Linked DNA regions of Diceros bicornis minor. The protein of the gene in region 4 purifies or fractionates together with the protein of the main gene of each other region. This does not show direct contact. Links are inferred from orthologs where the notes say so. Each region holds a gene or a part of one and is shown on either strand. Other genes may lie near its edges. The genes, in order: ARRB1, ARRB2, NOLC1 and TCOF1.

What was found.
Region 1: the proteins of TCOF1 (region 4) and ARRB1 purify together in Homo sapiens (affinity purification with western blotting; 5 studies listed by BioGRID and IntAct, with this or other methods). This does not show direct contact. The link is inferred for Diceros bicornis minor from reciprocal best matches to the Homo sapiens genes TCOF1 and ARRB1.
Region 2: the proteins of TCOF1 (region 4) and ARRB2 purify together in Homo sapiens (affinity purification with western blotting; 4 studies listed by BioGRID and IntAct, with this or other methods). This does not show direct contact. The link is inferred for Diceros bicornis minor from reciprocal best matches to the Homo sapiens genes TCOF1 and ARRB2.
Region 3: the proteins of TCOF1 (region 4) and NOLC1 purify together in Homo sapiens (affinity purification with western blotting; 4 studies listed by BioGRID and IntAct, with this or other methods). This does not show direct contact. The link is inferred for Diceros bicornis minor from reciprocal best matches to the Homo sapiens genes TCOF1 and NOLC1.

Annotation. Positions count from the first base shown.
Region 1 is NC_080746.1:55,867,886-55,875,319, forward strand, and holds the start of ARRB1 (beta-arrestin-1), read left to right. Parts: upstream 1-4,091; 5' UTR 4,092-4,206; coding exon 4,207-4,262; intron 4,263-7,168; coding exon 7,169-7,199; intron 7,200-7,434. UniProt on the Homo sapiens protein: Functions in regulating agonist-mediated G-protein coupled receptor (GPCR) signaling by mediating both receptor desensitization and resensitization processes.
Region 2 is NC_080757.1:11,497,983-11,505,409, reverse strand, and holds the start of ARRB2 (beta-arrestin-2), read right to left. Parts: upstream 3,187-7,427; 5' UTR 2,959-3,186; coding exon 2,891-2,958; intron 1-2,890. UniProt on the Homo sapiens protein: Functions in regulating agonist-mediated G-protein coupled receptor (GPCR) signaling by mediating both receptor desensitization and resensitization processes.
Region 3 is NC_080745.1:67,168,074-67,176,542, forward strand, and holds the start of NOLC1 (nucleolar and coiled-body phosphoprotein 1), read left to right. Parts: upstream 1-5,216; 5' UTR 5,217-5,241; coding exon 5,242-5,361; intron 5,362-8,421; coding exon 8,422-8,469. Other genes in the region: PPRC1 (peroxisome proliferator-activated receptor gamma coactivator-related protein 1), read left to right, coding at 307-1,030, 1,995-2,141, 2,252-2,318, 2,430-2,551, 2,798-2,949, 3,236-3,339. UniProt on the Homo sapiens protein: Nucleolar protein that acts as a regulator of RNA polymerase I by connecting RNA polymerase I with enzymes responsible for ribosomal processing and modification.
Region 4 is NC_080740.1:67,357,212-67,365,701, forward strand, and holds the start of TCOF1 (treacle protein), read left to right. Parts: upstream 1-5,294; 5' UTR 5,295-5,326; coding exon 5,327-5,434; intron 5,435-7,865; coding exon 7,866-7,921; intron 7,922-8,490.

The DNA.
Region 1 (7,434 bases), on a different chromosome or scaffold from region 4:
ATTTAGTGGTTTTTAGTATATTCACACAGTTGTATAACCATCACCACTATCTAATTCCAGAACATTTTCATCACCCCATAAAGAAACTCCTACCCATTGGCAATCACTTCCTATTTCCCTCTCCCACCAGCCCCTGGCAACCACTAATCTACTTTCTGTCTCTCTGTAGTTGCCTATTCTGGATATTTCATGTAAATGGAATCAAACAGTATATAGTCTTTTGTGTCTGGCTTCTTTCACTTAGCATAATGTTTTCAAGGTTCATCCATGTTGTAACATGAATCAGTACTTCGTCCCTTTTTACAGCTGAGTAATATTCCATGGTATGAATATGCCACATTTGAAAAAACACATTCATCAGTTGATAGACATTTGGGTTTTTTTTCACTTTTTATGACTGTTATGAGTAATGCTGCTATGAGCAGTTCTGTACAAGTTTTTGTGTGGACATCGTTTTCAGTTCTCTTGGATATACGCTTAGGAATGGAATTGCTGGGTCATATGTTAACTCTATATTTAACTTTTGGATGAACTATCAAACGGTTTTCCCAAGTGACTGCACTGCTTTACCTTCCCACTGGCAAGGTATGAGGGTTCCTGTTTCTCCACATCCTTGGCAACACTTGTTATTGTCTTTTTTGACCATAGCCATCCTAGTGAGTGTGAAGTATCTCCTTGTGGCTTTATTTTGCATTTCCCCAGTGACTAATGATGTTGAACATCTTTTCATGTGCTTATTGGTCACTTGTAGATCTTCTTTGGAGAAATGTCTATTCAAATCCATTGTCCATTTTTAATTGAGTTATTTACCTGTTTATTGTTGAATCATAATAGGGTCTTTATATATCCTGGGTACTAGGCCCTCTTCAAATATTTTCAAATATTTGAAAATAGTTTCTCCATTCTGTGGGTTGTTTTTTCACTTTCTTGACAGTGACCTTTGAAGCTCCAAAGTTTTTAATTTTGATGAAGTCCAATTTATCTACTTTTTTCTTTAATTGCCTGTGTTTTCGGTGTCATAGCTAAGAAACCATTGCCTTATCCAAGATCATGTCAATGTATACTTATGTTTTCTTCTAAGAGTTTTATAGTTGTAGCTCTTACATTTAGATCTTTGATCGATTTTGAGTTAATTTTTGTATATGGTGTGAGGTAGGGGGTCCAACTTCATTCTTTTGCATGTGGATATCCAGTTGTCCAAGCATCATTTGTTGAAAAGACTGTTTTATCCCCATTGACTTCTCTTGGCTCCCTTGTCAAAAGTCAATTGACCATAAATATATTCATTTATTTCTGGACTCTCAATTCTGTTCCATTGATCTACATGTCTGTCTTTATGCCAGTATCACATGGCAGTCTTGATTACTATAGCTTTGTAGTAAGTTTTGAATTTGGAAAGTCTGAGTCCTCCAACTTTGTTCTGTTTTTTTTCAGATTGTTTTGGCTATTCTGGGTACTTTGTGTTTCCATGTGAATTTTGGGATCAGCCTGTCAATTTCTGCAAAAAACTCAGCTGGGATTTTGGTGAGAATTTCATTGAAACCATAGATCAGTTTGAGGAGTATTGCCATCTTAGTGCTAAGTCTTCTCATTCTTTCTTTTGGGTATTTATTGAGTATAAAGTTGAGTTCATGCCAAATATACTGTTTTGATTCCTGAATTATTCTGCTTAATATTCTGTCATGGGCATTTCCCTGTGTTACGAAAGATGCAAGCATAATTTCAATCCTATGTACTATTCCATTGTTTGGCTGTACTATACAGAACTATAAACTCTTGGTTGTTGGGGATCTGTCTTGGAAGGTACTTTGTTCTGGGTCCGTTATGGTGCAGACCACCTTCTACAGGCACAAATGAACATTGGGAGGACTGGCGGCTCCCAGAAGAGCAGCAGAATATTAATGTCAAAGTTGACCAACAGGTAGCCCATGCTGCAGGTGGGGAATGGGCTCACTAGAGAAGCCAACATTCTGGTTCATGGAGACCTGACCTGCCAGCCCACCTGGCAGCACCACCCTGATGGAGTGGAATCAGAACACAGGATCCAACAGGCTGCATAGACACTGATAGAGCATGTTTATTTTAGGCATGTTTCTCTAGAACAGTGGATTTTTTTTTTTAATATCTCACCTCTTTATTTTTTTATTTATTTTTTATTGATGTCATAATGGTTTATAACATTGTGAAATTTCAGTTGTACATTATTATTTGTCAGTCACCGTATATATGTGCCCCTTTACCCCTTATGCCCTCCCGCCAACCCCCTTACCTGGTGGTAACCATTAATCTGTTCTCTTTGTCCATGTATTTGTTTATCTTCCACACATGAGTGAAATCATATGGTGGTTGTCTTTCTCTGTCTGGCTTATCTCACTTAACATAATACTCTTAAGTTCCATCTATGTTGTTGCAAATGGGATGATTTTGTCTTCTTTTATGGCTGAGTAGTATTCCAGTGTATATATATACCACATCTTCTTTATCCATTCATCAGTCGATGGGCACTTGTGTTGCTTCCAAGTCTTGGCTATTGTGAATAATGCTGCAATGAACACAGGGGTGCATAAGCCTCTTTGAATTGTTGATTTCAAGTTCTTTGTATAAATACCCAGTAGTGGAATAGCTAGGTCACATGGTATTTCAATTTTTAATTTTTTGAGAAATCTCCATACAGATTTCCATAGTGGCTGTACCAGTTTGCATTCCTGCCAACAGTGCATGAGGGTTTCCTTTTCTAGAACAGTGGATTTTAAACATTTAAAAATTTGCAGCATGACATTTATTTTACATTGTAACTCATTTCACCTGAAACAAAATTTTCACTAAATAATACTTACTTTTTGTATCAGGCAGGAGAAGCTGGTCTGCTGCACTAACAAACAACCCCCAAATCTTAGTGGCTCGAGAGCTTTCTTTCTCTCTCATGCTACATGTCTATCACCTAGCAGGAGAGCCCTGGGATTCAGGTTGCTGGAGGCTTCCCCATCCCGATCATTGCTGGTTTCAGTGGCAGAGGAAAGAGGGTGTGGTAGGTGGAAGAATGGCCCCCCAAAGATGTCTGCCTCCTAACCCTTGGAACCTTTGAATACATTATATTACATGGCAAAAGGGAATTACAGTTGCAGATTGAATTAAGGTTGCTAATCAGTTGATCTTAAAATAGGCAGCTGAATGTATCCTGAAGGGTCTTTAAAACTGGAAGAGGGAGGCAGAAGAGGAGGTAAGAGTGATGCAATGTGATAAGAACTCAACCTGCTGTTGCTGGCTTTGAAGATGGAGGAAGAGGCTATGAGACAAGGAATGTGAGTGGCCTCTAGAAGCTGGAGAGGGCAAGGAAACAGATTTGCCCCAGAGCCTCCAGAAGGGAGTATAGCCCAGCCAACATCTTGATTTTAACCTAGTGAGGTATATTTTGAACTTCTGAACTGCAGAATTGCAAGATAATAAGTTTATGTTGTTTTAAGCCACTAAGTTTGTGATCATTTGTTATAGCCTCCATAGAAAACTAATACAAAGGGCCTAGGGAATCATGCACCAGCCCTTAAATGCTTCTGCCTGGAAGTGACATGTGGCACTTCTATTCATATTTCGTTGGCCAGAGCGAGCCACATAGGTATGTCTAACTTCATAGGACTGGAGAAATTTGATCCACTCATATGTCCAGCCTTGGAGGAGAATAGAATATTGGTAAATATCGTAATATCTACCATACCCTTGCCATCTGCACCTCATGCTTATATCTTCTATTCTATTGCAAACAACAACAAGAACAAAGTGCTGGTGGCAATTCTTGAAGTTGACTTCATTATCAACTAATGGGTTATAACCCCTGGTTTGAAAAACACTGCTTTACAGACCCTCTTCTGCCCATGCCTCATGGACCACATGACACCTCCAAGGCATAGCTGATTGGTCCAGGCGTGGGACACCTGACCAAAGCTGGCCAATCAAATTCCTCTCCTGGGATTTGGAATTGGGCCATTCAGCCAGTTAACAGTGGGGAGCTGAGTGAGAGGCAGAGTGGAAACAAGGTCGGAGTGAGAGCCACATGAAGCCAAGATGATGGAGGAGTGGAAAAGCACTGAGTAAGCAGAGGGAGTTGGTCCACAGAGACAATGGAGCAGCCGCACAGAGAGCCGTGCAGCCGGGAAGACATGCAGCCCCTGAGGGAGAGGTGGAGAGAGACAGCAACCACCTGAGAGGCTGATGGCTTCCCCGTTCCTGGCTCCAGCCCCCATGCGTCCTGCCTGCGCGTCCTTCCCGTGAGATTTTTGCCTCCTTGTCATACCCCCTCCTCCTTTTCTTGAGCTACCCTTGGTGGGCTTCTTCCGTCTCTCCGGTGAGCCTTCATCAGCTAGAATGCCACCGGTATTTCCCTTATGGGGCCCAGCTTTGGCTCTGAGGATCAGGCTCGTGGGGCATAGATGGGACTCTGGGGTGAACCAACCGCACCGTCCCACAGTCTGGAAGCTTGGCTTTGACCACAGTCTTGCATGTTTGTGCTTGCTCCTCAAAGTGGACAGGCAGAGGCTATCTGTGTGGCACTGCACGTGTAGGGGGCCGGGGAACCGGAAGCACCCCCCAGGTGCCTTTTGTCTGACAGCCCTGGGGTCAGGAAGCCAGTGGAGTTGCTTCAGGGAGGGCTTGGCTGTGCGACAGAGTGGAAACCACATGGGCTCTGGAGACAGGCAGCCACAGTTTCCCTCTCTGAGCCTCAGTTTCCTCATCTCTGACATGGGATTGTTGAAGCATCAGCAACGTTCTGGGAAAAACACTTAGAGACCTGACTAGGGCGGAACACGCTCTCAGCGGCCTGGGCAGCTGCTCTGGTTGTTTGAGGAAGCCATCAGCATCCTGGCTTCCTGAGGAGGTGGCCCTGGGGGCTGGTGGAGTTAGCGACAGGATGTTCCCCATGGCTCGCCATGCTTCCTGCCCCTTGTCACCCTCCTCTCCTTCTCACCCCTTAGCCGCCCTTTCATTTCTTCCTCCTCCCCTCCCCTCTCCTGTCCTCATTTCCCCTCTTTTCTGTTATCCTGATGTTGATAAAAACACCTGCTTTAGGACAGCAGCAGGATCGGATATAAAGACCCAGCCTCTGGAGGCAGACAGAAAAAATTGGGTCTGAATCCCGACTTAGCCTCTGTTTGCTGTGTTCCTGGGCAAATTACTACATCTCGCTGAACCTCAGGTTCATTATCTATAAAGTGGGGGTTATAATGCCCACTCCACAGTGCTGTTGGGAGAGTAATTAAATAGGCACTCAGCAAATGCTGTGTCCTTCTTACCTCCCGCCCTCCTTCCTTGATTATCACTCCTCCTAGCCTGGCCCTGGCCCCCTCCTGTGTTCCTCTCAAGGATCACTGGAATGGCTTTCCCTGACTCGGTTATTTGTGGCTTCAGGCATTTGTGTCCCCTCCTCTCCCTCAGACCCAGGCCTCCCGAGGGTAGACTGACGCTTCTGGAAGCAGCTGGGGTCCCTGTGGCCTGTGCCACTTTTCTGGTCTCCTCTGTAGGCCCAGCCCTAGCGGGGGAGCTGCTGATTCAAACTGTGTGATCTGTATTTTTTCTCACTTTCGCAATTATTACACCCCAGCCGACTGTGGCATCTTCACACTGCGAACACTGATAAATATTTATGAGGAGGAGAGAAGCCCAGAACTCCTAGGGGAGGTTGGGGAGGGCAGTGCCAGGCCCTTCTTTGCAAGCCAAGCTCAGACCCATCCGTGGTCCTTTGGGCCCCATAAATAAGGGGGTGGTGTGGGCGGGGGTGGGCTATGGAGGCAGCACAGAGCCACCACCCACTCGCCTCCTTGGAGGAGCGACTGTCACTGTGACACTGTGGCCTCACCCTGCCTTGCCCTGGACGCCTGCTGGACCTCCTGCTCCTGGGAAGGATTTGGGCTGCGTGGATTCCTCTCAGCTACGTGTGGGCCTGCTCCATGCTCTGTCTGCTGCATCTCCCTCACCCTCTCTTGTTGTTTGTTTGTTTGTTTTTTCATCTGTTGTCACACCTCCAGGGCCTGCATCCCTGTCCTCTCCTCCCTTCCCTCCCTCCTCTAACACCTTCTCTTATCCTCAGGGTCTCTGTCGCTGTCTTTCGCTTTTCTTCTCTCCCTCCCAACATTACCCTGAGCAATTCTGGGGCTAGATGATGGGCGCTAGGTGAGGGGGTCTCAGGCTCCCACACCCAGCTGGAGGAGGCTGCACTGTGCTCTGGAAGGCAGGGAGCGCTTGGCGGGAGTGGGGACCATGCCTCTGCCTGACCCCATGTCCAGTGCTCTGCTGTGGCCACGGGCAATCCCTTCCCTTTCCTGGGCCTCAGTTTCTCAGTTGATTCCTTCACTCATTCATTCATTCACTCGCTCAACTAATATTTATTGAGTGCTTGCTCCCTACCATTCATTAACACGTCTTTGTTAAACACCCACTAGGTGTGCCCTTCTAGGGCTTGGGACACGTCAGTGAACGAAAGAGACAGGATCCCTGCCCTCAGAGCTGACACGTTAGCAGTGGATAGGCGTGAATGTGGTCAGCAAGCCCCTCATGTAGTAGGTTAGACAGTGGTGGGCACTGTGGGAAAAGGAAAAGTGGAGCGAGGGCAGGAGTGGGAGTGGGGAGTAGGCACAGGGCGAGGCCTCATCATGTAAGGGTGGGGGGGGCTGGCAAGCAGAGCTGTTGGGGAGGGACTGCTCAAGCAAAGGCCCTGAGGCAGGAACCGACCTGGTGTGTTGGAGGAACCCCAGCAAGCTGCCATGTGGCTGGAGGAGTGAGGGAGAACAGCGGGAGGTGATGCGGGAGGGAAAGGAGGCAAGGCAACCTCCAGACCTTACAGGCACTCCAGGCTTTTCCCTGCGCCAGCCAGGAGGAGTTTGGGTGGCGGAGTACGACTGACATCCTGACAGCCTCTCTCCACCTGCTGGGAAGAACAGACTGAGGGGCCGTGGCCGGAGCCCAGGAGACCTATAATGGCGACAGTGCGGCTTGGGTGGGGGCAGCGGCGAAGATGGTGAGATCTGATTATGCCGGCACTGTTGCTGCTCTCAACGCTTGGTTGGTGCCTGAAAGTCACTCTGGGCCCCTTGTCCTGGGTCCTGCAGAGGGATGGCCCGCAGGAGCCTTCCCCTGGGCGAGATGTGCTAACCCTGGCCTTCCCTCTTTCTCTCTGCAGGGTGTTCAAGAAGGCGAGCCCCAATGGAAAGGTGAGTCTCCATCAACAGCCCCCCGGCTCCTCCCTGACCCCAGACTCGTCCTGTCTTGGGCATCTCTCCTGACCTTGCGGGACCCTGCACAGCCCTGTCTGCAGGGGAGCCCCAGCTCTCAACCACAGGGGAGGGGCCCTCAGGAAGCTTTCTGTCTGAGGGGGCAGTACGACTCCCTTGGACTTTAAGGAGTCCTTGCTCTGGTGTGAGGAGATGGGGCCTGTCATAGAGAGAC
Region 2 (7,427 bases), on a different chromosome or scaffold from region 4:
GACTCAGCAGGGACCCCCACGCCAGGACCTTCTCCCTCCCCAGCCTGAGAAACAGAGCTCACCCAGGATTCCTGCCTGGAGGCTTTGGGGCTTTGCCCAGCCCTAGCCCCTCCCACTTCTTCCTGAAGGAAAGGCAACCACAGGTCCTTAATATTTCCAACATGGCAGCCCCTCCAAGCTGGGTGCCATGGCAACCCCTCCCTGGTCCACCCTCACTAGTTCCTCTCCTCCCATGGCAATGGCCACTGGTTGCCACAGGAACCACCCAGGCTTTTCCCAAAGGACCTCCCCCAGGGGAACCTGAACGGCAGGTCGCAGCAATGTCTGTGTAAGACCTAACCCTCTTTCCATCTTCTCTGGTCTCCAGCTCCAATGACAGCTGGAGTACTTGGAAGAGCAATGGCCCTGGCCTTTGCCTCTCAAGTGCTCTACTGTAGGCACTACCTAAGTGTGACCCTACTCCATTAACCTCCAACTGTCCGCATCTCTGATCTCAGCAGCTTAAAAGCCTATTTGTCTTTCAAGGCCCAGCTCAGATATCACCTCCTTTAGAAAGCAGATCCAACCCAGACCCTAGTCACTCCTTTTTTTGGGCTTCTGTCACACCTTGTTTATGTTTTACTTGTGGTGTGATAGCAAACAAGGGCAGTTAGCTGTGTATCATCTGTCTCACTAGACAGACTGTGAGCATCAGAGGCCTTATTCACTTAGGCATCCCCAGCACCATGCCAGCCATATGACAAAGATGATGCTGGCTAACATTTATTGGGTGAATACTCCATGCTCAGCACTGTTTGAAGTGTTTCACCTAATTTAATACTCCTAATGACCCAATGATGGAGGTCCTAATATTCCTATTTTACAGTTGAAGAAACTAAGGTACAGGAGAGGTCAAGTATTTTGCCTAAGGTAACAGTGTAAATGGTGGAATTCACATACAAACAGAGGCAGTCTGGCTCCAAGTCCATGCATTCATCGCTAAACCACTATACAGTTGTCCCTTGGCATCTGCAGGGGATTGGTTCCAGGACCCCTGGGGATACCAAAATCCGCATATGCTCAAGTCCCTTATATAAAATGGGGTAGTATTTGCATATAACCTATGCACATCCTCTCGTATACTTTAAATCATCTCTAGATTACTTATAATACCTAATAGAATGTAAATAGCATTTATATTGTATTGTTTAGCCAATAAGAAAAAAAGTCTGTACATGTTCAGTACAGACACGACCATTGTAGGCCTTTAGATCCGCGGTTGGTTGAATCTGCGGACATGGAGCCCGCAGGTACAGACGGCTGACTACACTACTCTGCCTCTGTAATTGGCATCAGGTTTGTTGAATTGAAGGGGATTTGCTTCCCAGTTGCTGAAACAATTTAAGCATGGACTCCATTCATTGCTGGGATGGTAGTGAAGTGTCTAGCTACTCCAATGCTCTGGCCACTTGTGGGCTTGTTCTTTGCTGCACCACCTTACAATCCACTCCCAATCCACTCTGGCTCGGCAGTGATCTGATCCCTGGGAAGGGTCCCCAGATAGTAGAAACTGAAATCCTGCCAACTGGTCCATCCCTTCTCCAATCCCACCAGCCGTTTCTGCTATAAAAACTTCACTTGCCCCTTCTTCCCAGAAGCTATCCAAAGGCCATAAGGCAAAGGGTATGGAGGTCCTCAGGTATTCCCATTCAATAAAGGAGAGCAAACGTTGATATGGTGGCAGCTGGAATAAGCACCCCCCTCTTGTCCCAACTTGGGGGCTGGTTGCTATGGCATCATCCAGCTCTCTTCCCTCTTTGCTTCTGGTTTTCCTCTTTGTCCCAGTGTTTCTTCCTATTAGGAGCCCTGGCAGAGGGCTGCAACAGCTACAGTCAGTTGGCCAACCGGAGTGTGGCTTTGGAATAATTGCCTTGGAGCAGCTGCAGGGCACCTGCCCTTTGGATCCTAACCCAGCCAACCTCCTGCCAGGCTGAGGGTGGGGGAGCAGCATGTGTATACTGAGGAGGCAGAGTGTGGGGGTGACCAGGGAGATGCCCAATGAGCGGGGGCAGCAGAAGCAGTGCCCCCTCACACTTCCTGCTATTCTCTCCGTTTCCTGTGGCCCAGAATTTGATGGGGATGTGGGGAATTGTGCCAAGTCAGCAGTCCCCCTCTGGTCCATCCGTCCTCCTCCCTGAACCACATAACGGAAATCGGGGCCCTCCCTCAAGTTAGCGACTTCCCCTTTCTCTGGGGTGTTTAATCTCTAATACAGGACACTAATCTTCCTTCTGATCATCTCTTTCCAATACTAGTCGACTTGGTGCTTAGAAGCCTGAGTTCTCCTACTCTATGGGGGTGCTGATATGATAGTGTTTTGTAGAACGAGTGACAGCTTAGGACCAGGCCTCCATTCCTGATGCCCTCTGGATAGAGGCATACAACCCCAATCTTTTCCTCTTTTGCTCCTGCTCCCCAGGGACTCAGGCATTCACCCACTGGCCCCTTAGGGGTGTTGGGTCACAACAGGAAGTGGATTTTGCTAGAGACCAAAAAAGAGAACTCGAGCTGTCAGTGGAAGGAAAGAGCCTCGATTGCACAGAAAACATCCGGGGAGTGGATGGCGTGCCCAGGGCAGATACTGCCTCCCCTCACCCCCGGGAAGAGGGGTAAGGCCCAGAATCGGGGAGGGTCGCCGTGCACTCTGCTCCCTAAGATGAAGCTGTTGTTCCTAGCAACCCAGGGGAAGGCAGAAGTTTGGAAGCGGGGCCGGCCCTCGGGACGGTGGGGGCAGCCCAACTGCCTGTGGGGTATTGGACAGGAGGCTTTTCAGTGGCTCGGCACGAGTCTAGGGGGGAATCCCCCTCCCGGCATCCAGCTTGCCCATACCCGACCCCTTGGGACCGGCCACCTGCTCCTCCTTCCTCCGCCTCTGCATCGCAGCCTGCACCGGAGAACCCAGTCCTCCGGCCCCCACATCCCTGCGAGAACTCAGATGCCGGCTTCCTGATCCCCTCAGCCCTCGCTTTCTGCAGGGGCCCTAGCATGCATCCCCCTCATTATCCTCGAGGACCTAGGCGTGCGGCCCCGGATGGCTGCTCCCTAGGGACCCAGGCGTCCGGCTCCCGGATTCTCTCCCCGGTGTCCTTGTCTGGGGACCGTTCCAGCACCCGCCCCGAGCCGCCGCCCACGTCCCGCCGCGTGGCCCCACCTGCCTTACCTGGTCCCTGGTTTCTCCCCCATGGTGCACGCGCCTGCCGCCCGCCCAGTTCGCGGCTCGCTTGCAGCCTCCTAGCCCGCTGCCAGGTCCCTGCTCCTCCCCGCGCCACTGCGCACGCGCGCCCTCCGATCTTTCTCCTCTCCCCCTCCCCTCCCGCCCCCCCTCGGATCCTGGGGAACAGGGGCCTGATGCGTCAGCCCGGATCGCGCGCGCCGCGGCGCTGCCCGCCCTCTTCTCACAGACACCGGCGGCGATTGGCTCCGCCCCCGCCCCCTCTGCGCTCTATCTCCACCCTTCCCGAGGGATCTCTCCCCGGCCAGCGCTGTGTCTACTCCCTGCTCTTCCCGCCCATCTCTCCGTCCCTCCGCACCCCATTAGAAACTGCTTGGGCTCCCTTAAACGAAGCCTCCCGCCTGCCAGAAGATTACAGCCCTCTGATTGGCTCCCTGCATCCAGGGCCCTGCAGGGGTTCCCTCCCCTTTGTTTGCTTTCTCTGTGGCGGTGGAGGCGGTGCAATGAGCTCAAGCACAGTCGGGGAAGGAGAATGAGGGGATACACACGTGGGTGAGCGGTTCTAGTTGCGTGGTGCTTGCCTTAGTGCTCGCCGCTCACCCGCTCATCCCAGAGCTTGCAGCCTTCTTGGGATCGCCCTCCCACTTCTTTATTGTGGTGTGTCAGCTCCCCCTGGTGTCTATTTTTGATCTTCGCAGGGTTACTTTTCTAATTTCTCTAACTACCCATCTCCATCCACTCATTCCAACTAATACCCATCCATCCACCCATCCCTCCCTCCCTCCCTCCCCATCTATCCACCCACCCACCCACCCAGCCATCCCTCCCTCCCTCCCCATCCATCCATCCATCCATGCCTATTTTGTGCCAGTCACTGTGGTAGGCGATGGGGACACAGACATTAATTAACATGGCTCCAGCCTTCGTAGTATAGGTGAGGACACACATGAACTGGTATTATGATCCCAGGAATGCTATAATGGAGGTATGACTCAGAAGACAAAGCAACTACCAGCATTTGACTGGAGCGGGGGTGGAGAGAGTGCAGGCTGTACAGAGGAGGAGACATTTGAGGACAATCTTTCTGAATAGTGGGCAGAAGTTGAGAAAGGGTATTCCAAAGAGAGAGAAAGGCCAGGCACATCCTGTTCTGAAGTGCTTGTGGGGTTAGATGGCAGGAGAGAGAAGGCTGAGGAGACTGGAACAGAGTCAAAACAAAGATTTTGTATAGCAGGTGAAGGAATGAGACTGGGGCCCTGCCCTGGAGGAGGACACATGGATCCAGTAGTGGTTTTTTAAGCAAAGAAGTGGCATGATGAGATTTCTCTTTTAGGAAGATAGTTCTGGGCAATGTGGAGGGTGGAGGGAGTGGGGCAAGGCTGCTGTAGACTGAAACCAGTCAAGGGGAAATGATGAACGATAGAGTGGGAGGGAGAAGAGGCTGAAGAGTCATTTCTAGGGCAAAATTGACTGGACTTGGGGAGGGTGATGGATGATGGACATTTCTGGACTTAAGGAGCTAAAATATTTTTTCTTCTTCCATCTCATTTCCCATACTCCCCATCTTTCCCAAATGAACTAACTTCACACTTCTCCCTCCACTTTTCTATGCACACAAGACAGTTTCTGAGATCATCTTTAAGGTTCAAACACACACCTTGTCCACCAGCTGCCACCTCCCTACCCCTCAGTTCTATCACCACCTTCTAAGCTCACTCTTCACCCCTCTCAAGTTTTAGATTCTTTTCGACTCGTGAATCACTTTTGTCAAAGGGTCAGGATCAGAAGGTAATGAGATGTGTATTGCTACATATCTAAACTGCTTTTGGAACTGAAAGATAAGTGGTCTGTGTGGCATGAAAACAACTGTATTAAAAGATACTAATATAAAGACAACTTTAGAAAGATAGTAAAGGAGGCCAGAAAGAAGGAAAGATATACACCATATTCTAGGTGGGAAAAACCATCATTATAAAGACGTCATTTCTCTGCAAATTGTCTATAAATTTAACGCCATATAAAATAATAACAAGGGGCCGGCCCCATGGCTTAGCTGTTAAGAGCGCGCGCTCCGCTGCTGGCAGCCCCGGTTCGGATTCTGGGCATGCACTGATGCACCGCTTCTCCGGCCATGCTGAGGCCGCGTCCCACATACAGCAACTAGAAGGATGTACAACTATGACATACAACTATCTACTGGGGCTTTGGGGAGAAAAAAGGAGGAGGATTCGCAATAGATGTTAGCTCAGAGCCTGTCTTCCTCAGCAAAAAGAGGAGGATTAGCATGGATGTTAGCTCAGGGCTGATCTTCCTCACAATAAATAAATAAATAAAATAAAATAAAATAAAATAACAACGAGACTTTTTTGGGAGGAACTTGATTCTAAACATAATCAGAAGAATCAACTTTCAAGTATAGCCAGGAAATTTTTGAAAAATAAGAGTATAGCACGCATTTGTCTTACCAGATAAGATAATTTATGTTACAGTAATTAAAATTGTGTTATTGGTGCAATAATACTAAACAGAGCAATGAAACAGAATAGAGTCCAGATACAGATCCACGTGGTAGCATTTCGAGTCAATAGAGAAATAATGGCAGATTCACTAAATAGGGTTGGGACAATCAGCTATGTTTGGGGAAAAAAAAAAGTTATACCTCTATGTCATACCTTAAACAAAATAAATTCCAGATGGGTTAAAGATCTAAATGCACAGAGTAAAACTATGCAAGTATTAGGAGAAAATACAGGAGAATATTTTTATACTCTGGGAGGTTAGGAAAAGCCTCGGAGTATATCAAACCCCAGGGCTATAATAATAACAACTAACACTTTATAGTATTTACCATGTGCCAAACATTGTTCTAAGCACTTGACAAACATCAGTTCATTTTGTCCTCACAACCCTATGAGTTAAGGTTCTATGATTATCTGCTCTTTGCAGATGAAGAAGTGGAGGCACAGTTGAGTAACTTGCTGGCTCACATGACTAGCAAGAGGCAAAGCTAGTGTTTGAACCCACCAGTCTAGCTCCAGAGTCTGTGCCCTTAATCACAACACCTTATTTCAAAAAGACTGAGATTAAAAAATAACAAGTAAAATAAAAAGACAAATTGGAAGAAACCTCTTGCAACACATATAACAATCAAGAATAATTTCCCACACATACAAAGAGTTCCTACAAACTCATAAGATAGAGATGAACAACTCAATAGGAAAATGGGTAAAGGGTATGAAAAGTAATTAATAAAAAAGAAATACAAATGTCTATTAAACATATGAAAGTTACTCCATTTCATAATGATCAGGGAAAATGAGTTAAAAGAAGGAGATATTTTTCATGTTTCAGATTGAGAAATTCTAAAAAGATAAATAAGCCTAATATTGGGATGATATATAAGGTATAGAGCACTATTTTACATAGTGCTCCGGTGTAAACCTATGGAACCTTTCTAGAGGGCATTTTGCTAGTTCCTATCAAAATTAAAAATAGGCATCCTCTTTCATCCAATATTCATTTATTCACTCAACAAATATTTATTGAGCACCTTTTATGTGCCAGGCACTGTTCTAGGTAATGAGAATAAAATAGTGAAGAAGATAAGACCCCTCTCATGGAGTTTGTATTTTAGACAGAAATAGTCAATAAATAAGAAAATACATAAATTTTGAATAGTGCTGTAAGTTATAAAAAAAATAAGCAGGATAATGTGATAGAGGGTGATGGGAGTTGCAGTGGAGACTTCTTAAAAAGGAGCCCTCTCTGAAGATGGCAAGATGGTGTCAGTCATATAGAATCAAAGGAAAATTTCTCTAGGCAGAAGCAGCAGCATGTGCAAAGGCTCTGAGGTGGGAATGGGCTTGCTGGAGGACAGAAAGAAGGCTAGTTTGGCTCAAGGATAGGGAAAGAGAGGGAGAGTGATACATGTGGTATGTGTTGAGGTCAGAGAGGTGGGTATGGGTCAGATCATGTAGATTCTAGTAGGCCAAGGTGAAAGATGGGATTTCATTCACATCATATTTGGAAGCCACTGAGGGCTTTAAGCAGGGAGAGACAAGGACTGACTTACATTTGCAAAGACCACTCATTGCTGTGTGGAGAAGGGACTACAGAGGGCCAAGAGGGAATCAAGGAGAGCAATGAAGAGGTGGATGGAAGAGACTATCATAAGAGGCCAGGGGAGGGAGAATGGTGACTTGGACTAGAGTGGCAC
Region 3 (8,469 bases), on a different chromosome or scaffold from region 4:
GCTGGGAGGAGGGGTGGGTCTAAAAATGGAGAGGTAGACCAGACAGGACGTGGTCACCAGCTAGGTTTGGGTAGTGAGAGGTTGAGGGGTTCAGGAGGATCCTAGCTGGCTGAGTTTCTATTGCTGGTCCCCAAGATGGGGAACTCAGGAGGAGTAGTAGTTGCAACAGTAGAAGAAGTTCGGCTGTTGACCATTGTTGGTGTACTTTGTGAGATGAGGTGGGGGTCTCTGGAGCCTATATACGCAGTGTTTAGAAGTGTAGAATGGGATCTCATCCTGCTATCTCCATCCTCCCTCCCCTCACAGGGCTCACCCCTCCAGCTACCCCTCCCCACCAGTTATGGAAGCCCCTGGCTGCTGTCTCACTGCTGGCCAAAGCCAAATCTCCTAAGTCCACCGCCCAGGAGGGAACCCTGAAGCCTGAAGGAGTTACAGAGGCCAAACATCCACCTGCAGCCCGTCTCCAAGAAGGGGTCCATGGCCCTAGTCCAGTCCATGTGGGCTCTGGGGACCATGACTATTGTGTTCGGAGCAGGACCCCCCCAAAAAAGACACCTGCCCTAGTCATTCCAGAGGTGGGCTCCCGATGGAACGTCAAACGCCACCAGGATATCACCATCAAACCTGTCTTGTCCCTGGGCCCAGCTGCCCCCCTGCCCCCACGCACAGCTGCTTCCCAGGAACCACTTGATCACAGGACTAGCAACGAGCAGGCAGATCCCCCAGCTCCTTGCCTTGCCCCATCTGCCTTGCTGTCCCCTGAGGCTTCGCCCTGCCGGAATGATATGAACACTAGGATTCCCCTTGAGCCCTCAGCCAAGCAGCGGTCAGTGCGCTGTTATCGAAAAGCCTGCAGGTCAGCCAGCCCCTCAAGCCGGGGCTGGCAGGGCCGCCGTGGCCGCAGCAGCCGTTCTGTCAGCTCTGGGTCCAACCGGACCAGCGAAGCATCTTCCTCCTCATCCTCATCGTCGTCTTCCTCATCCCGATCCCGGTCCAGGTCCCTCTCCCCCCCACACAAGAGGTGGCGAAGGTGAGCTCTGATGGCCTGTTAGGTCCTCTCCATTTAGGAAGTTCATGTACTCTCTTCTGGTTTACTTTAAAAGCTTTTGCACATTGAGTTTAATACTTTCAGGCACTAAGGCTTCTATTTCTCTCTTCTCCCCCTTTCCTGGATTGTTGGAGGAGGCAAGCGTCATCCAAGCTTGAGAAGATAGCTTCTATCCCCTGTTGGAGTTTAGGGTATCCCTGAGGTCTCCTGCTTCCTTGAGACCTGCCTTGGGGAGACCGCTAAGGTTTGATCTTGACCATGTTAATTTCTTCGCATACTGTATCAGTCCTCATTTCTGAGGTGGTATGTGGAAAGGTGGGATAGTGGATTGTTAATGGCAAACAGTCCTTCCTTTAATCATCTGTTGAGGAAAGAGTCTGAGACAGTTCCTTTGGGCGTCACTGTGGCCTCATCTGTTTTCCGGCAGTACCTTTTTCTCAGTAACAGACACAAATTTTCCTACTTAATCAGTGAAGAATTCTTGGCTTGTGACAGTGAAGTATATCTTCAGAAATGGCCTCTACTACAGGTCTAGCACAGTCTCCCCTTATGCCATGGTTACAGTACTCCTGTGAGACATATTAGGGGAGCAGGAATCCAGAGACTCAGGCCTGGCACCGCCAGCTAGTTGTAAGACCAAGGGCCCAGCCCTTTATCTCTCTGGGTCTCCATTTATTTTTCTTCTTTCTGATTTGTTAAATATTTTTCATTTTTAATTGCATAACTGAAAATAAGTATGGTCTGTGCCAAAACACTCTAAAACATTCCAGATACATCTAAAGTTCATGAGGACCTCAATTTGGTCAGCTGTGAAGAGTTCTTTTAGACCTCTTCTGCTCTGCTTTCCCTTTGGTCCTGAGCTTCCTGATAGGGAGACAGGGCTGGGGCCAAGGTGAGGTAAGTGGAATATACCTGCACCACTCCCAGCATTCCATTTATTCTTCAGGTCCAGTTGCAGTTCCTCTGGACGATCCCGAAGATGCTCTTCCTCTTCCTCCTCCTCATCTTCCTCGTCTTCCTCATCCTCATCATCCAGTTCCCGAAGCCGGTCCCGCTCCCCATCCCCGCGCCGGAGAAGTGACAGGAGGCGGCGGTGAGCATGTATTCAGGGAGTCAGTGCATCTGGGATGCAAGTGCCTGAGAATTCTGAGACTTGAGCTGTCTTATGTCTGGGGGGTTGATGGCACCTTCTTCTTTTGTCAGGTACAGCTCTTATCGTTCGCATGACCATTACCAAAGGCAGAGAGTGCTGCAGAAGGAGCGTGCAATAGTGAGTAGGGGAACAGGAGGAGGACGCTTGCCCCTGAGCCATGAACTTGGAGAGCCATCTGCAGCTGTGGCCCTGGCTCACAGTGTGTCATTTTTCCTTGACCCAACATAGGAAGAGAGAAGAGTGGTCTTCATTGGGAAGATACCTGGCCGCATGACTCGGTCAGAGCTGAAACAGAGGTTCTCTGTTTTCGGAGAGATTGAGGAGTGCACCATCCACTTCCGTGTCCAAGGGTAAGCTTGGGCCCTAAGATCAGGATGTCCTTTCTTGTCCCATTCATCTACCTTGATGATTCTTTGTCTTTCCCTCTTGCTCTGGTGTGCTGGGAAGTATAGGACACCTTCATTTCTACAGAGGGTTGGCCATTTGGGGAATGAGAAGAACCACCCCAGTCCCTCTCTGTACCCTGGGGAGCTGTTTCTTCTCCATGGTATGTGCCCAGATAGCCATCCCAGCCCCTGCCTCACCCTCCCCACCAGTGACAACTATGGCTTCGTCACTTACCGCTATGCTGAGGAGGCATTTGCAGCCATCGAGAGTGGCCACAAGCTGAGGCAGGCAGATGAGCAGCCCTTTGATCTCTGCTTTGGGGGCCGCAGGCAGTTCTGCAAGAGAAGCTACTCTGATCTTGGTGAGTAGAGGGAGGCCTTGAGGCTTTGATATATTTCATCGCCTCTCCAGAAGGATTCCCAACCTTTTGACAGTGGGGCTAGGCAGACTTGTCTTCATCTGACACACGAAGAACCTAAGGGGTGGGATGAGAGGAGAAATGGAGGCTCTTCTGTCTTTTTGACGTAAAATCAGGGTGATTTTAGCTCCATCCATTACTGGGATGGGAGGTGGCTGGCCATTTGAGGACCCTGTGGTTGGGAAGTATGGTCAAAGACCTTGATGTTTGTCTCTCTCTACCTCTATAGACTCCAACCGGGAAGACTTTGACCCTGCTCCTGTAAAGAGCAAATTTGATTCTCTTGACTTTGACACATTGTTGAAACAGGCCCAGAAGAACCTCAGGAGGTAACCCTGGGCCCTTCTCCCCCTCCCCCTTTTCTTTGGAGGTGCCCAGCCTCCTCCATCCCCCTCCCCCACTCTAGGGGAGAGAGCTGCTAGTGAGGAGATGACTGTTTTATAAAGAAATGGAAAAAAGTGAAATAAAAAATGTGTTAAATCAGATTTTTTAAAGGGGTATTTGTTTTTTATAGCAAGCATTGAAACAAGTTAACTTGCATTCCTATGTAAGATGGATGGGGTTGAGGGGTTCCCCCAAAGTTTGGAAGATCTAAGTCACTATTCAGACTAATAAACGTGGACTAGAGAGAACTCCCAAGTGCTGTTGTGCTTCTTTCTGTGGTGCTGGTGCCAGACATATTCACTTGTCCTCTATGAATACAATCAGGGACATGCTTACCTCCATTGAGTTCCTAGGACCCCTCTTTGGTCAAGTGCAAAATCCTATTGGACTTGAAACTTGGCTCCTCAAGTGTGTTGTCAGTGAAATCACTTATCTAGGGCAGTGCTTCTCAAACTTGAAAAGGGCGTTTGAATCATCTGGAGATCTTTTAGAATGCAGATGCTGATTTCAAGGGTGAGGCCTGAGATTCTGCATTTCAAACTAGGGGATGCTGATGCTACTGGTCCAGGAAGGGATTTTAATATCAAGGACCTAGAGGAAGCTCATACTTGTTCCCAGTAGAGGTTTTTAAATAAAAGGTTTTCTAAGGCTTGTGTGTCATGTACCATTTTAGCTTGAGCACAATGCTTGCTTGGCACACAGCAGGTGCTCAGATGTTTAAAGAATGCTTGTATGTGGATAGACCTCTGGGGAAGAGGGAGATGTAGAAGTTTTATCTAGGAGAGGGGAATGCCTGTTTTGAGAAAGGCAAAGGAGAGGTGTGTCCCCTGAGAAAGTGGATCCTTACTTAACCTTCCTGAGGGGCATTAAAGGGAAGTAGTGAAGGGGTAGTGGGTAGAATTGAAGGGATTGCTGTCTGCCAATGTGAACTGAAATATGATAGAACTTGGAATTAACTTGGCAGGCCCAGGCATTGATATTTCAGTACTCATAGCAAAGGGAGAGGCAGTTGGGGGGGTTTTCTGCATCTCCCACAGGGAGAGTTCACTGTGTGAACTGTGACCCAGGAGGTAGAAGGGTGATTTTCAGGACTATAGGTTTGAAGAAATTGCTGCTGTTGTCACTCAGGTTTGGTGCACAACCCCTTTTCCCTTCATGGAGCTGAAGTAAGGCTAAATAAGGAAGGAAAGGGTTGTCTCATGGGCAAGTCATGATTGAGGGAGGGGAGTTTTGGGGATCAACGCCCCACTACTACCACGGATAATCTGAAGGATCCTCTGCAGTGGAGGTGGGAGTCCAGAGGCTGAGGTGGTCTCTGAGAAAGGGCCTCCCTAGGTGTTGGAGGCAGTGAAGATGAAGGGTGGGAATCCACTGGCAGCGCGAATGGGGGCGGTTGGGAGATCTTGTGACCAAGTCTGAGAGTCCAAGAACAGTTCGAGCCCGCCGGTCCACTGATTGCTCTGGAATATGAATCACAGCTGGGGTGCTGGAAACCGCTGCTCTGAGAAGTGGTGCCTCCAGCGGAAAGACGGGGCGCGGGAAGTGCAGAGTTTTCCCGCCACGGCCGAGGACGTGACCTCTGACGTCAGGGCTCCGCCTTCACAAGGTGGTGGACGGCGGGCTCCGCCCTTACCAAGATGGCGACGCTCGTGGGACCGGAAAGAGCTTACAGATTTCGCCTTGACCCTGCCTCCGAGTTGGAGGCGGGACCGCCCTATGGAGTGCGCCCTCCTCTTGCGCTGTGCGCCCGCGCGGCGCGATGGCGTCACACGGGCCCGCCCCCAGCCTCAGGGTTCCCGAGTTCCTGAGTCGTGTGCGACGGAAACGGTAGTGACGCGTATTGCCCGGAGGATGGCGGACGCCGGCTTGCGCCGCGTGGTTCCCAGCGACCTATATCCCCTTGTGCTCGGCTTTTTGCGGGATAACCAGCTTTCGGAGGTGGCCAATAAGTTCGCCAAGGCAACAGGCGCTGTGAGTCCCGGGCGTGGGGCATGGGCTGGGGTGGGATGACCACAGGGCTCTGGGCCCTGACATGCTTAGGTTTGCGGGTAGGGAGATCTGTGGGGTGCGCCAGCCCAGTGTCTGCGGGACCTTTGTGCCGAGCTCTCGGCGGTGACCGGAGAACGCCGGCAGTCTCGGCACCTCCTCTTACACGTGGTCTGACTAGATAGTGCTGAGTTTTGTTGCTTTTTTCTGGTGAGCGGTTCAGCGGCTGCAGCGTGGGACCCTCGTGGCCCAGGTCACGTGGCCGGCAGAGTGCGGCGAGGAGGGATCTCGGTGTCCCACGGGAGCATTGGAGGCTCCAGGTTCCTTATTTGAGCTTTATGTTGGCTGATGTAAAGCGTGACTTGACCTTAACTCTCGAATTTACCCGGAACTCGAAGATAAATGAAATGCTTTAGAAATGAAGGCTGGGGTTTTCGTTAGTAAAGAAGAAAATGAACGAGAGTAGAGGCAGAGTTCTGCTTTTAATTGTACTGAAACGAAATTGAGCATCATAAGCAGGCGTAGCGGTGGGCTTGGATCTTTGACATCTGGAATCAAACAAATCTAGGTTTGAGACCAGGCTCTGCCACTTTTAAGATGTATGACCCGAGCATCTTGCTTAACCTCTAGGAGTCTGTTCCTATTTCTATGGGGATGTCATCCTCCACTTCATAGGATTTTTGTGAGTTTCAGTAACATGATACACGCAAAGTCGCAATCCCAGTGCCTGGTGCTCAGGAGGCATCAATGAGTGAAAGCTATTACCATACTTCAGGAAATTTAGGATGTTCCAAACACATGTAAAAGAAGACCAGGAATGTGAAAGATTTGGAAACTACATCTCAAGAAAAGCAGACATGATTGCATGGGAAGAAACCTTGAAAGAACTTAGAGTAGCAGAGGGGTAGTCTTTGGCGGTCTCAGCCTTTCAGTAAGAAGATAGGCTTGTTCTTTGTGGCAGAATCAGGCTGCAAAAGGAGAGAATTAGATCGGCCTCGGAAAGGACTTCCTTAAGCTGGGACAGCCTGCCGTGTGATCTGATAGAACTGCCTTTGTGTTGGAATTGTTTTGAATTGACTGTTAGGGAGGCTGCAAAGAGTGTTTCCACAATGGGCTAGATGGAATTGGGCCTTTCAGAATCAGGATTCTCTTTTTCTTTTTTGTGAGGAAGACCAGCCCTGAGCTGACATCCATGCCAATCCTCTTTTTGCCGAGGAAGACTGGCCCTGAGCTAACATCCGTGCCCATCTTCCTCTGCTTTATGTGGGATGCAGCCACAGCATGGCCTGACAAGTGGTGCATCGGTGTGCGCCTGGGATCCGAACCCTGGCCGCCAGCAGCGGAGCGCATGCACTTAACCACTACGCCACAGGGCCTGCCCCCAGGATTCTTTTTCTTTTTTTTTTTTTTTTTGTGAGGAAGATCAGCCCTGAGCTAACATCCATGCTAATCCTCCTTTTTTTTTTTTTGCTGAGGAAGACCGGCTCTGAGCTAACATCTATTGCCAATCCTCCTCCTTTTTTTTTTCCCCAAAGCCCCAGTAGATAGTTGTATGTCATAGTTGCACCTTCTTCTAGTTGCTGTATGTGGGACGCGGCCTCAGCATGGCCGGAGAAGCGGTGTGATGGTGCGCGCCCGGGATCTGAACCCGGGCCGCCAGTAGTGGAGTGCGCGCACTTAACCGCTAAGCCACAGGGCTGGCCCCCCAGGATTCTTTTTCATGTGACAAAAACTAGTCTTTGTGGAGGGCTTACTAAGGGGCCAGATGCTGTTTCCAGATAGTAAGCCCTTTATGTGCATTATTTCTTATTTTCTCAACCTAATAAGATGTATAGTATTATCTTCATTTTATAGAGAATAGTCTCAGAAAGATTAAATAATTTGCTTAGGATCACGCAGTAATTGGTGAAGGTGAGTTTTACATCTATACTCGTCTATCTCTGAGCCTGTGCTTTTACGTGTACTGTAATGCTTGGCCTTTTTTTTTTTTTTTTTTTTTTGAGGAAGATCAGCCCTGAGCTACCATCCATGTTAATCCTCCTCTTTTTGCTGAGGAAGACTGGCTCTGAGCTAACATGCATTGCCAATCCTCCTTCTTTTTTTTCCCCAAAGCCCCAGTAGATAGTTGTACGTCATAGTTGCACCTTCTTCTAGTTGCTGTATGTGGGACGCGGCCTCAGCATGGCCGGAGAAGCGGTGTGTCGGTGCGCGCCCGGGATCTGAACCCGGGCCGCCAGTAGTGGAGAGTGTGCACTTAACTGCTAAGCCACGGGGCCGGCCCGCTTTGCCATTTTTTTTGCATCAATTAATAATTTATGGAGCCGGCCCCGTGGCTTAGCAGTTAAGTGCGCGCGCTCCGCTGCTGGCGGCCCCGGTTCGGATCCCGGGCGCGCACCGACACACCGCTTCTCCGGCAATGCTGAGGCCGCGTCCCACATACAGCAACTAGAAGAAGGTGCAACTATGACGTACAACTATCTACTGGGGCTTTGGGGGAAAAAATAAATAAATAAATATAATTAAAAAAATAATAAAAAAAATAGTTTATGTTAGTGTAATTAATAGCTGAATGCGATTCTGTGCTGAATACATAATATAACTTTCTACCAGTCTTCTCTTGGAGGCTAGTTTCCAAAGGTTTGGTATTATAAACCACATTGCAGCAAACACACCCTCTTGGTATAAATGTTTGTGCCCTTGTTTTGTGAGTAAGGATAAATTCCTAGATAATACATTGCTAGAGTAAAGAGAATGCACATTTTTAAAGGCTTTGATAAATAGGATTGGTAGGCAGGGGATAGATGGTGCCAGAAACTACAGGAATAGCTCAAGTTTTTGATACCAAAAATTGGGAAATACGTAAAGAGAATGTTTTTCTCCTAATTTATGCAAGTAGGAGAACTCTTACAATGATGTAACATTTATACCAAATATAGCAGGTATAAAACAGGTCACTTTTAATGGGAGAATAACACAAAATCTAATCTCCCCTACAATAACCAGGATAAAATTTCTTTACTCAGCTCTTTCTCTTTTCTGCTACAGACCCAGCAGGACGCCAATGCCTCTTCCCTCTTGGACATCTATAGCTTC
Region 4 (8,490 bases):
ATGAGATTGAAGAAAAGAGAAAGAGAGAAATTGTCATCCCACGAGAGGAAAGGAGGCTGTGAGAAACCTCCTGGCCACAGTGATTTGTTCCAAGGAGAACCCATTGTTACGATGGGAGAAGGAACGGTCTCTAGGTCTGGGGGCAAGGGCAGCCTTCCCAGATGAATCCCTCTCTTGAGAGTTCCAATGCTGGAAGGGCCTTTGTCCAACTGCTCAAACCAAAAGAAATGCTGAGGATCAGAGAGAACAAGAGACTGGCCCAGGTCACACAGCAGAGCCAGGCCAAAAAGATATTTTCCTGACTTCCGGCCCAGTAGCCTCTCCCCTGTGTCATGCTACCTCCCACCTCTGTGCAGGAGCCACTTCTGCTGGGAAAAGAAGGTTTTAGCACCCCACCTGCTTAGCTTCCTTCTCTTCTGATGACGGGCCTTCCTTCACTCATTTCCCGAATGCCCTCATTGTGCCCTGCTTGAGAATTCCAGATGACTAAGGCATGCTGCTTACCCGAGAGGGGCTCAGAGGTTGAGTGGTCTGGAAGCTTCTGATTTCTACCACTAACAAATGCATCTTTTTTTAACTGGTAGAAAAACGCTCTGAGGCTAATTTTTTTTAATGCGCTGTTTTGTTTGCTGCTGTCTTAATTGTTGCCATGTTATATTTTATCGGTTTAATGTTTTAATTTTGTGCTTGGGCCCCGAGGCAATTCAGTGAAGGGTATGATTTGGAAAAGCAAGGATATAAAGAAATTGTCCACAGAAGAGGCAGCCTCCCAGGAGCCGAGGACAAAGCATAAGTGCCTAAAATGAATTTTATTAGGAACAAAACAAAAATAAACAACGTGTTGCCAGACAGAAGATATCAGACCATCCTGGTTTTGTTTTTTAATTTAATACCAGTTCTCCATTTCTTCCAAGGTCAGCAAAGGACTCACAACACGGTTCCTTCTCCATTGCCTTCTAGAAGCCTTCCTCATTTCTGCTTCCAACCCTATACTCACGGTGTGCGCCCTGCCTGCCCTGCCCTCCTCTCTTCTTCAGGAAGCAGGCTATAACCACCCTTGCACTTGCCAACGTTTATTGACTGCAGTTGGGGATAACGCAGCCAACAAGACAACCAGGAGTCTGCCTTCAGGGAGTTTACATTATAAGGAACGCATTCTCAACCGGGGCAATAACGCCCCCACGGAGGGTAAAAATTGGTTCTCGGAGGGGTGAAAAAAAATTGACCATCTTACAATGATTTGTATGCTCGTCACCCTGTTCGCTTTCTCAGTGAGTGGCCCATCCAGCCACCCAATCAGCAACCTGGGAGCTCATGGCAGCCTCGTGGCGGCCCAGTACGCAAAGGCTTCCACTCTCTCCCTGAAAATTGACGCCATCTGTCTTCATTCCCCACCTACCCAGCCTAGATCCGAGGGTCCAGAGATTAGGCACCATTTTTGCCAACAGTTCAGACACTGTTCCTTTTTTTTCCACCCATCTGGCAAAGCCCTAGGTCTGGGTAAACCCTCTAAGTACTTTCCCCCTGCCTGCACCTGAGGAGGTGAGCTGTGAAGGGGGAAATCACACAGCTGGCAGGACAGGACACATAAATTAATGGTCACCAACCTCAACTGGGTTGTCAACACTATCAGGCAATCGGGGAGTTTGTGGGCCAGTTTGCTCCTCCACTCTCCGAATGCTCATTCTCCTCCTTCCTTCAAACTCCTCACCACCTCTTCCTCGCTCTCAGCAGAAGACCTTGCCTCCCACTTTGCAGAAAAAATAGAAGCTCAAGATGAAATCTCCCTTAACATCCCACTACAAACCTACATCTACATCTGCACCCATCCTCTCTTTGTTCCTACTTTTGGTTCTAGAGAAGTCATCCCTCCTCCTCTCCAAGACCAGCCCCTCCACCTACACGCCTGATCCCATCCCCTTGCACATGCTCGTGCACATCACTTGATGATTATCTCCCCTATTTCCTAAACCCTTAATTAATCTCTCTCCCCTTCAGGCTTGATCTGCCATCAGCCTGTAAACAAACTCAGGTCTCTCCACCTTATAGCACACTTCCCCCCAACACACACTTAGACCCTGTCACGGCATCTCGCTCCTCCCCTTCACACAAAAACTTCTCAAAAGATCCACTGCCTCCCTCATCCTTCCTTCTCTCATCAGACCACTGCCATCTGACCTTCTCCGTCACTCCACAGAAGTAGCATTCCCTACAGCCACTGACAATCCCCATGCCTGTCAGTAAACCAAGGCCCATGGTTCTATCCTCATCCCATCCGACTCTCAGAGCAGTCTGCATGGACACTTCCCACTTTCCCAAAACTCATCCCTTGGCTTCCTGCCCTCCGCCCACTCCCTGGGTTTTCTCCTACCTCTCTTGTCCATTCCTTCTCAGCCTGTGCAGGCACATCCTCCTTTCTGCAGCCCTAACCTGTGGGTGTGCCTCAGAGCTCCAGCCTGGGCCACTTTCTCTTCTCTCCATGTTCTTCTCCTCACTTATCATCTCTCTACTGACAACTTCCCATTTTCATGTGAGTCCAAACCCAGGCTTCCAAGTGCCTACTCAGCATCTGCACTCGGTGTCTCAAAGACATTTCAAGCTCAGCGTGTCTAAAGTGGAACTTGCACTTTTCATGTCCCCTCCACACCCTCCCCTTGTTGCTCAGCCCCCATCCCAGTCCTCTCCTGTTTTCCCCATCTCAGTGAAAGTCACTGCCTGCCTGTTTGCACAGACAGCTCAGAGTCCATCCTAACACTCCCTCCTTACCCTCCATTCCAGCACATCTCTATGACAATTTGACTTCCTGATAACTTTGAAACCTTTCACAGTTCTCAGCTCCACTGCCACCAGTGCCACCCCCATTCTATTCTCCCTGGATGCCTGCCTGCACTCCTAACCCTGTCTTCCTGCATCTACTCATACACTAGTATTCCACTCTCCACTGGGCATTCACACAGGTCACATTAAAATTCAAATATCATTCTCTTCCTCTTGGGCCCACACTGTCAGTGGCTTCCTTCACTTTTAGGATGAAGAGAAAGATCCTTAATGTGGAATCTGGCTCTGCCCACCTTCTACACTCCCCAGTCCCCCTGCTTTCACTCTAGGCCCTGCTACAAGGGCCTTTTCTCACCTCTTCTCTCAGCTATACCTTCTGCCTCAGGCCCTTTGCACAGGTTCTTTCCTCTGCCCAGGATTCTCCCCACCACCATCCTCCCCTACACATAGTTCAGATTTCCTCACAAATATCACTTCCTCAGGGAACCCTTCCCTAACCCCCAAGAAAAGATAGCTCCCTCCTTCCTGTTAATGCTTTCCCAATAATGGCTCACACACATACAAGCACAGCACTGTTGTTGGGAATTCACCTGCGCATTTCTCCTTAGAACTCATTTACTCCTCATGACAACTCTATGAGGTAGAAATTATAATTATCTCTATTTTACAGATGAAGAAACTGAGGCACAGAGAAGTTATGTAACTTACTCAAGGTCACCTAGTTAATAAGAGGCAAAGCCAGAATTTGAACCCAGGCAGTGTGACTTCAGCAGAGCTTTTAAACACTCTACTGTTCCATAAGAAAACACTATCCTTTTCCTTCTGCACTTGCTCACTGTTTGTAACAATGTATTGGTATGACTATTCGTTTAGCACGTTTCTCCCCCATTAGACTGTAAGCTCTTATTGGGGTAGAGACTGTTTCATCCCCAATAGTAGGCCCTCAATAAATATTTGCTAAATGGCTGAATGTAGATTAGTCTTCTCCCTCTTTCTTACTCACTGCATTCAATCAGTCACCTCATCCTGTCCTGTTTCTTCCTGGAGCTGCAGTTCCTAACCCTAGGAGGTTCAGGTACGTGCTTATCTCTGTCCTGAAATTGGATGGAAAATGTTATGTATCCATACACATTCAAAATTTTCTACAGTAAAGGCTAGGTGGTTCATGCTGTCTTCAGATTCTCAACAGGGCCATGAAGTTAAGAAGAGCTGATTCAGGGCCGGCCCCGTGGCTTAGTGGTTAAGTGCACTCACTCTGCTGCTGGTGGCCCGGGTTCGGATCCCACACCGACGCACCGCTTCTCCAGCCATGCTGAGGCCGCGTCCCACATACAGCAACTAGAAGGATGTGCAACTATGACATACAACTATCTACTGGGGCTTTGGGGGAAAAATAAATAAATAAAATTATAAAAAAAAAAAAAGAACAGCTGATTCAAATATTCTCCAGCCTCTCTCATCCTCTCCCTGCCAACCTCGCCTCAACAACTACGATAGCCTCACAGCTAGTATTGTTCTCCACAAATCCATCCTCCATGCTTTGGTCATAGTAATCTTTTAAAAACATAAACCCAGGTCACCCTCCTGCATTAAACCAGTCAGAGACTATCTATTGCCCTTGGAGCAAAAGTGCAAAAACTCTGCTGGGGGAGGGGATGCTGTAGGCCCTGTCTACTTCTCCATCCTCCTGTGTCCTCACTGGTTCCCTCTTCCCCCCAACTCTATAGCCCAGCAGCACAGACTGGGTTCTATGTTTGGGTTTCTGGCCTATGCCCCGTGGCTTCTCCTGTCTACCCTCAGGAGGTGCCCTCTGCCTGGGGTGCCAGTCCTCTTCTCTGCACCTAGAAATTCCTATTCCATCTTTAAGCCTCCACTGAAACGTCTCTTGGGGGTTAGGTGCCCCTCCTCCCTGCTCACATAGGCTGTGCCTATCCCCGAGAAAGCACAGAAAGCACCGACTATCTCTGTTGTCCCCGTGAGCTTTGAGGGCAGCCGCCATGGCTTATTCATCTTTTTATCCCCCTATCCTAACTGAGCGCTAGCCCAAGGTACGGTGCTCAATAATGATTTGTTCAGTGAATGAATGAATGATGACAAATAGTGCCTGAAAAAAGTGTGAAATGAATAAATGAGTGGGTAATTGGAAGTTTGGGTCTGGAGAGAGATGCAGATGAGGATGTTCAGACATGAGTAAAACCCGATCGCAGCCATCAGAGAGCTAACAAGCAAGACTAACCTCTTCAAGGAACAAGTCTGAAGGATTTCAGAGGGAGTTACCCAAATCACGGCCGGCCCAGGGGTGGGTCCAGGTCTAACCACGCCCTCTCCCCGCCAATGGGAAATCTCATTGCCCTCCGAGTCTCCGCCCCTTTCACCCGCCGGGGAGGGGCCGATCACGCTACAGGAGACTACATTTCCCGGCGTGCCGCGCGGCTCCGGCGAACGAGGAGCCGGAAGTGGGGCGCGCGAGGTCTAAGGGCACGCGGGAAGTGGCGGGCGGGGATTGAGGGGGGCGTGCAGGTGAGACGACTGGCCTGGGGTCGCTGGCATGGCCGAGGCCAGGAAGCGGCGGGAGCTGCTTCCCCTGATCTACCAGCATCTGCTGCAGGCGGGCTACGTGCGCGCGGCGCGGGAAGTGAAGGAGCAGAGCGGCCAGGTAAGCGGCGCGCGCCGTGTGCGAGGGCCGCGTGCAGGGTCTGGAGAGCGGCGGCCCGCACCCCCTGTCCTGGCTGCCTGGCGGGCCCCCGGAACTGGATCCCGCGGTGCTCGGGGACGCGGCCAGGGGTGCCGAAGGAGCCGCAGCTTCTGCTCCCTCCTGCGGCTCCCAGTCCCTCTGGGCCTCAGTTTCCCATCTGTGCAGTGGGCGGGCCGGGACCTGTGATCGGATGCGCAGGGTTTTGTAATTCCCGCGCCCCGTACCTCCACCCCTTTCCTGGTGGCGGCAGTTTAAAGTTTCCTAAATCTCGGGCCACGTGGCTCCGCGTGACCCCCTCGGGCGAGAAGGTTGCTGCGAGTCTGAGGGATGGATAGCGACCAGCCCCTGGGGGCGAAGGAGAGCGCCGGGAGAAGGGGCCTGTGTCCCCTCAGTTGAGCTGGAGCTCAGGCCCTTAGCAGTCCTTCGGTGTTGAGTCGGACAGCATTGGGATTCGAACTCGTGGTGCAGTCATTTCTTACTCCATTGATTCTTACAGCAACTGTTCACCTGGTGCTCAGAGCACACGGTCCCCCAGCCCTCCTAGAACTAACAAAATCTAAGTCTAGTAAAGGAGATAGACATAAATCAAAGAATCCCCAAAATAACTGTACACTTAACACTACATTAAGTGCCAAGAAAGAGAGGCATAGGGTGCTAAGACAGAGGTGGCAGATTGCCCTTGTCAGCGATAGCCAGGGCTGCTTTCCTGAGGGAGTGGATGTTGATTTGAGATCTTAGAGAGGGGAGGTAGGTATTCCAGGCAGAGGTGCAAATGCCCTGCGGTGGGAGAAAACTTGTGTAGGTACTGGCCTCAGTAGAGCTTGTTGTGGCTTAAGTGTGAGGTACAAGGGTGATAGAGGTCCCTGGGAAGATAGTGGGGGAGCTGGCTGGAGCCTTACTGTAGGCAATTTGGGCTTCATCTAAAGAGCAGTGGTAAGCCACTGAAAGGTTTTAAGCTGGTATGGTGGACACTGGCCTGATTAGTCAATATGGTGTAGGCTCTGGTCCTGATGCTTGCTCTCAGGACCTCCCAGGGAGACTAAAGGGTGATGAGCCCTAAGACGTTATCTATGCTTTTCCCAGCCCTCTCTGGACCTCAGTTGCCCTTCTTACTCCAGTTATATCCCTTAACAGCTAAGAGGGGCAGGAGACAGCGCCCATTCGTTGGAACATTTGCCTAGGCAAAAGTAGCCTGCCCTTATGGAGCATACATTCTAGCAGGCGCAGACAGATGACAAATAGGAAAAAGAAGCGAATGATATAGTGTGTCGGGTGATGGTGGGTGTTAGCTATAAAAATAAGGCAGGCAAGGGGGATAAGGAATATTAGGGTTCAGTTATAAATAGGATGGTCAGGAAGCCCCACCAAGAAGGTGGCATTTGGGCAGAGACCTGAAGGAACGGAGGGAGTGAGCTGTGTAGTTAGCAGGAGAGAACATTCCAGACAGAAAGAATAGCAAGCCCTGATGGGGGCCGGGTGGCCTGAGACGTTTGAGGGACAGTGAGGAGGCCAGTGGGCCTGGGTCGCAGTAGAGTGAAACTGACGCTCGCAGTCTCTGTGTTATTGGCTCATGTGCTGGGGGCGCTGACCAGGTTGTCTCATTCAGGCCTGATAGCAACCTGCTAGGTGGGTACTGCCGTTGTCCCCATGTTATAAAGAAGGAACCTGAAGTTTGAAGAGGTGAAGAGATTAGTCCAGCCAGTTAACAGAGGAGCTCTGCCTGACACCAGGTGCACCCTCCTGGCCACTCTGTACCCCCTGACACTGCCCTTGCCCCACATTGTTCACTCAGCCTCCTTGGGGCACTTAACACCCAGGTTCTTGACATTTGCACCGAGAGTGGGCCCTCTGGCATCGGCTCCAAAGGCCTAGATTCCAGCTGGTTCCCTCTGCTTCTACCAAGGGACTGGCATCATTTGGTTCCAGTCTTTTCCCAGTGGATGAGTGGACTGCAGTCATGCCACCCGGATGCCTCTGGTGTCTGGGCTGTGGTTTGTACTGCCCTGGGGAGATTGACCAGCCTGGCCTTTAAAAGCCTTTTGAAAGGTCAGAGGTAGAAAAAGCCCTGTCTCGTGGCCTCTAAGCATAGAGAGTGGCAGGGAGGCTGGGGGCTGGAAAAATGCTAGCCTGGAAGATTCCAGCTCTAGTCGGTCAAAGGTACCTCTCACCAACATGTTGTCTTAAAAGGTTTTAGCTGGAAATACTTGTCCCGCTTGTCTCTGGAAGGTTTGAGTGGTACAGGCAGGGCCAAGCAGACATGTTTCCCAAAGCAAAAAGACCCCTTTCTCAACCGCTTGTCTGTGCAGGTAAGGAGGTCGTGGAGAGTTGGGCCCAAGGAGGACCCTTACTGTGCTGGAGCGTTAATTGCTGTTTTCTCTTTCCTTGTTTGCAGAAAAGTTTCCTGACTCAGCCTGTAACCCTTCTGGACATCTACACACACTGGCAACAGTAAGTCTGTTGGGGCTGAAGGAGTGGAGTAGGGACACGCCGAGCTCTCGGCTTGGAATAAGCTGGGATACTAATCTGTCCCTATAGCCCACTGTGGACGCCATTATCACCCCCGGGAAGCCAGGTCACATGGATGTGAGTCGGAGAGGATATTGAGAGCTGCAATCAATGTCTTTGAAGGACAGAAGCTTTCAGCAGCTTGTTATTCATTTAGTCAGCAAACATTTATTGAGTACCTACTGAATGCCAGGCCCTGTTCTAAGTATGGAGATGTTGTCGTGAGTGAGACAGACATGGTTCCTTCTGTCCTGGAGCTCACATTGGAGTCGGGGAGGGAGGCATGCCTCAAACAATGAAACAAACAAATGTAAAATTACAGTGGTAGTAAGGATTATGTAAAAGAGGGACCTGGTGCCGAAACCTCATAAACAGTTTAGCCTAGCCTCATTTGGGGGTTTAGGGGAGGCTGCCCTGAGGTGACCTTTGATGTGAGAGCTGCAGGGAGTCGGAGAGTGAACTAGGCAGTAGGATGGAGAGGCAGGTGGAATGTCGCTGGCAGAGGGAACCGC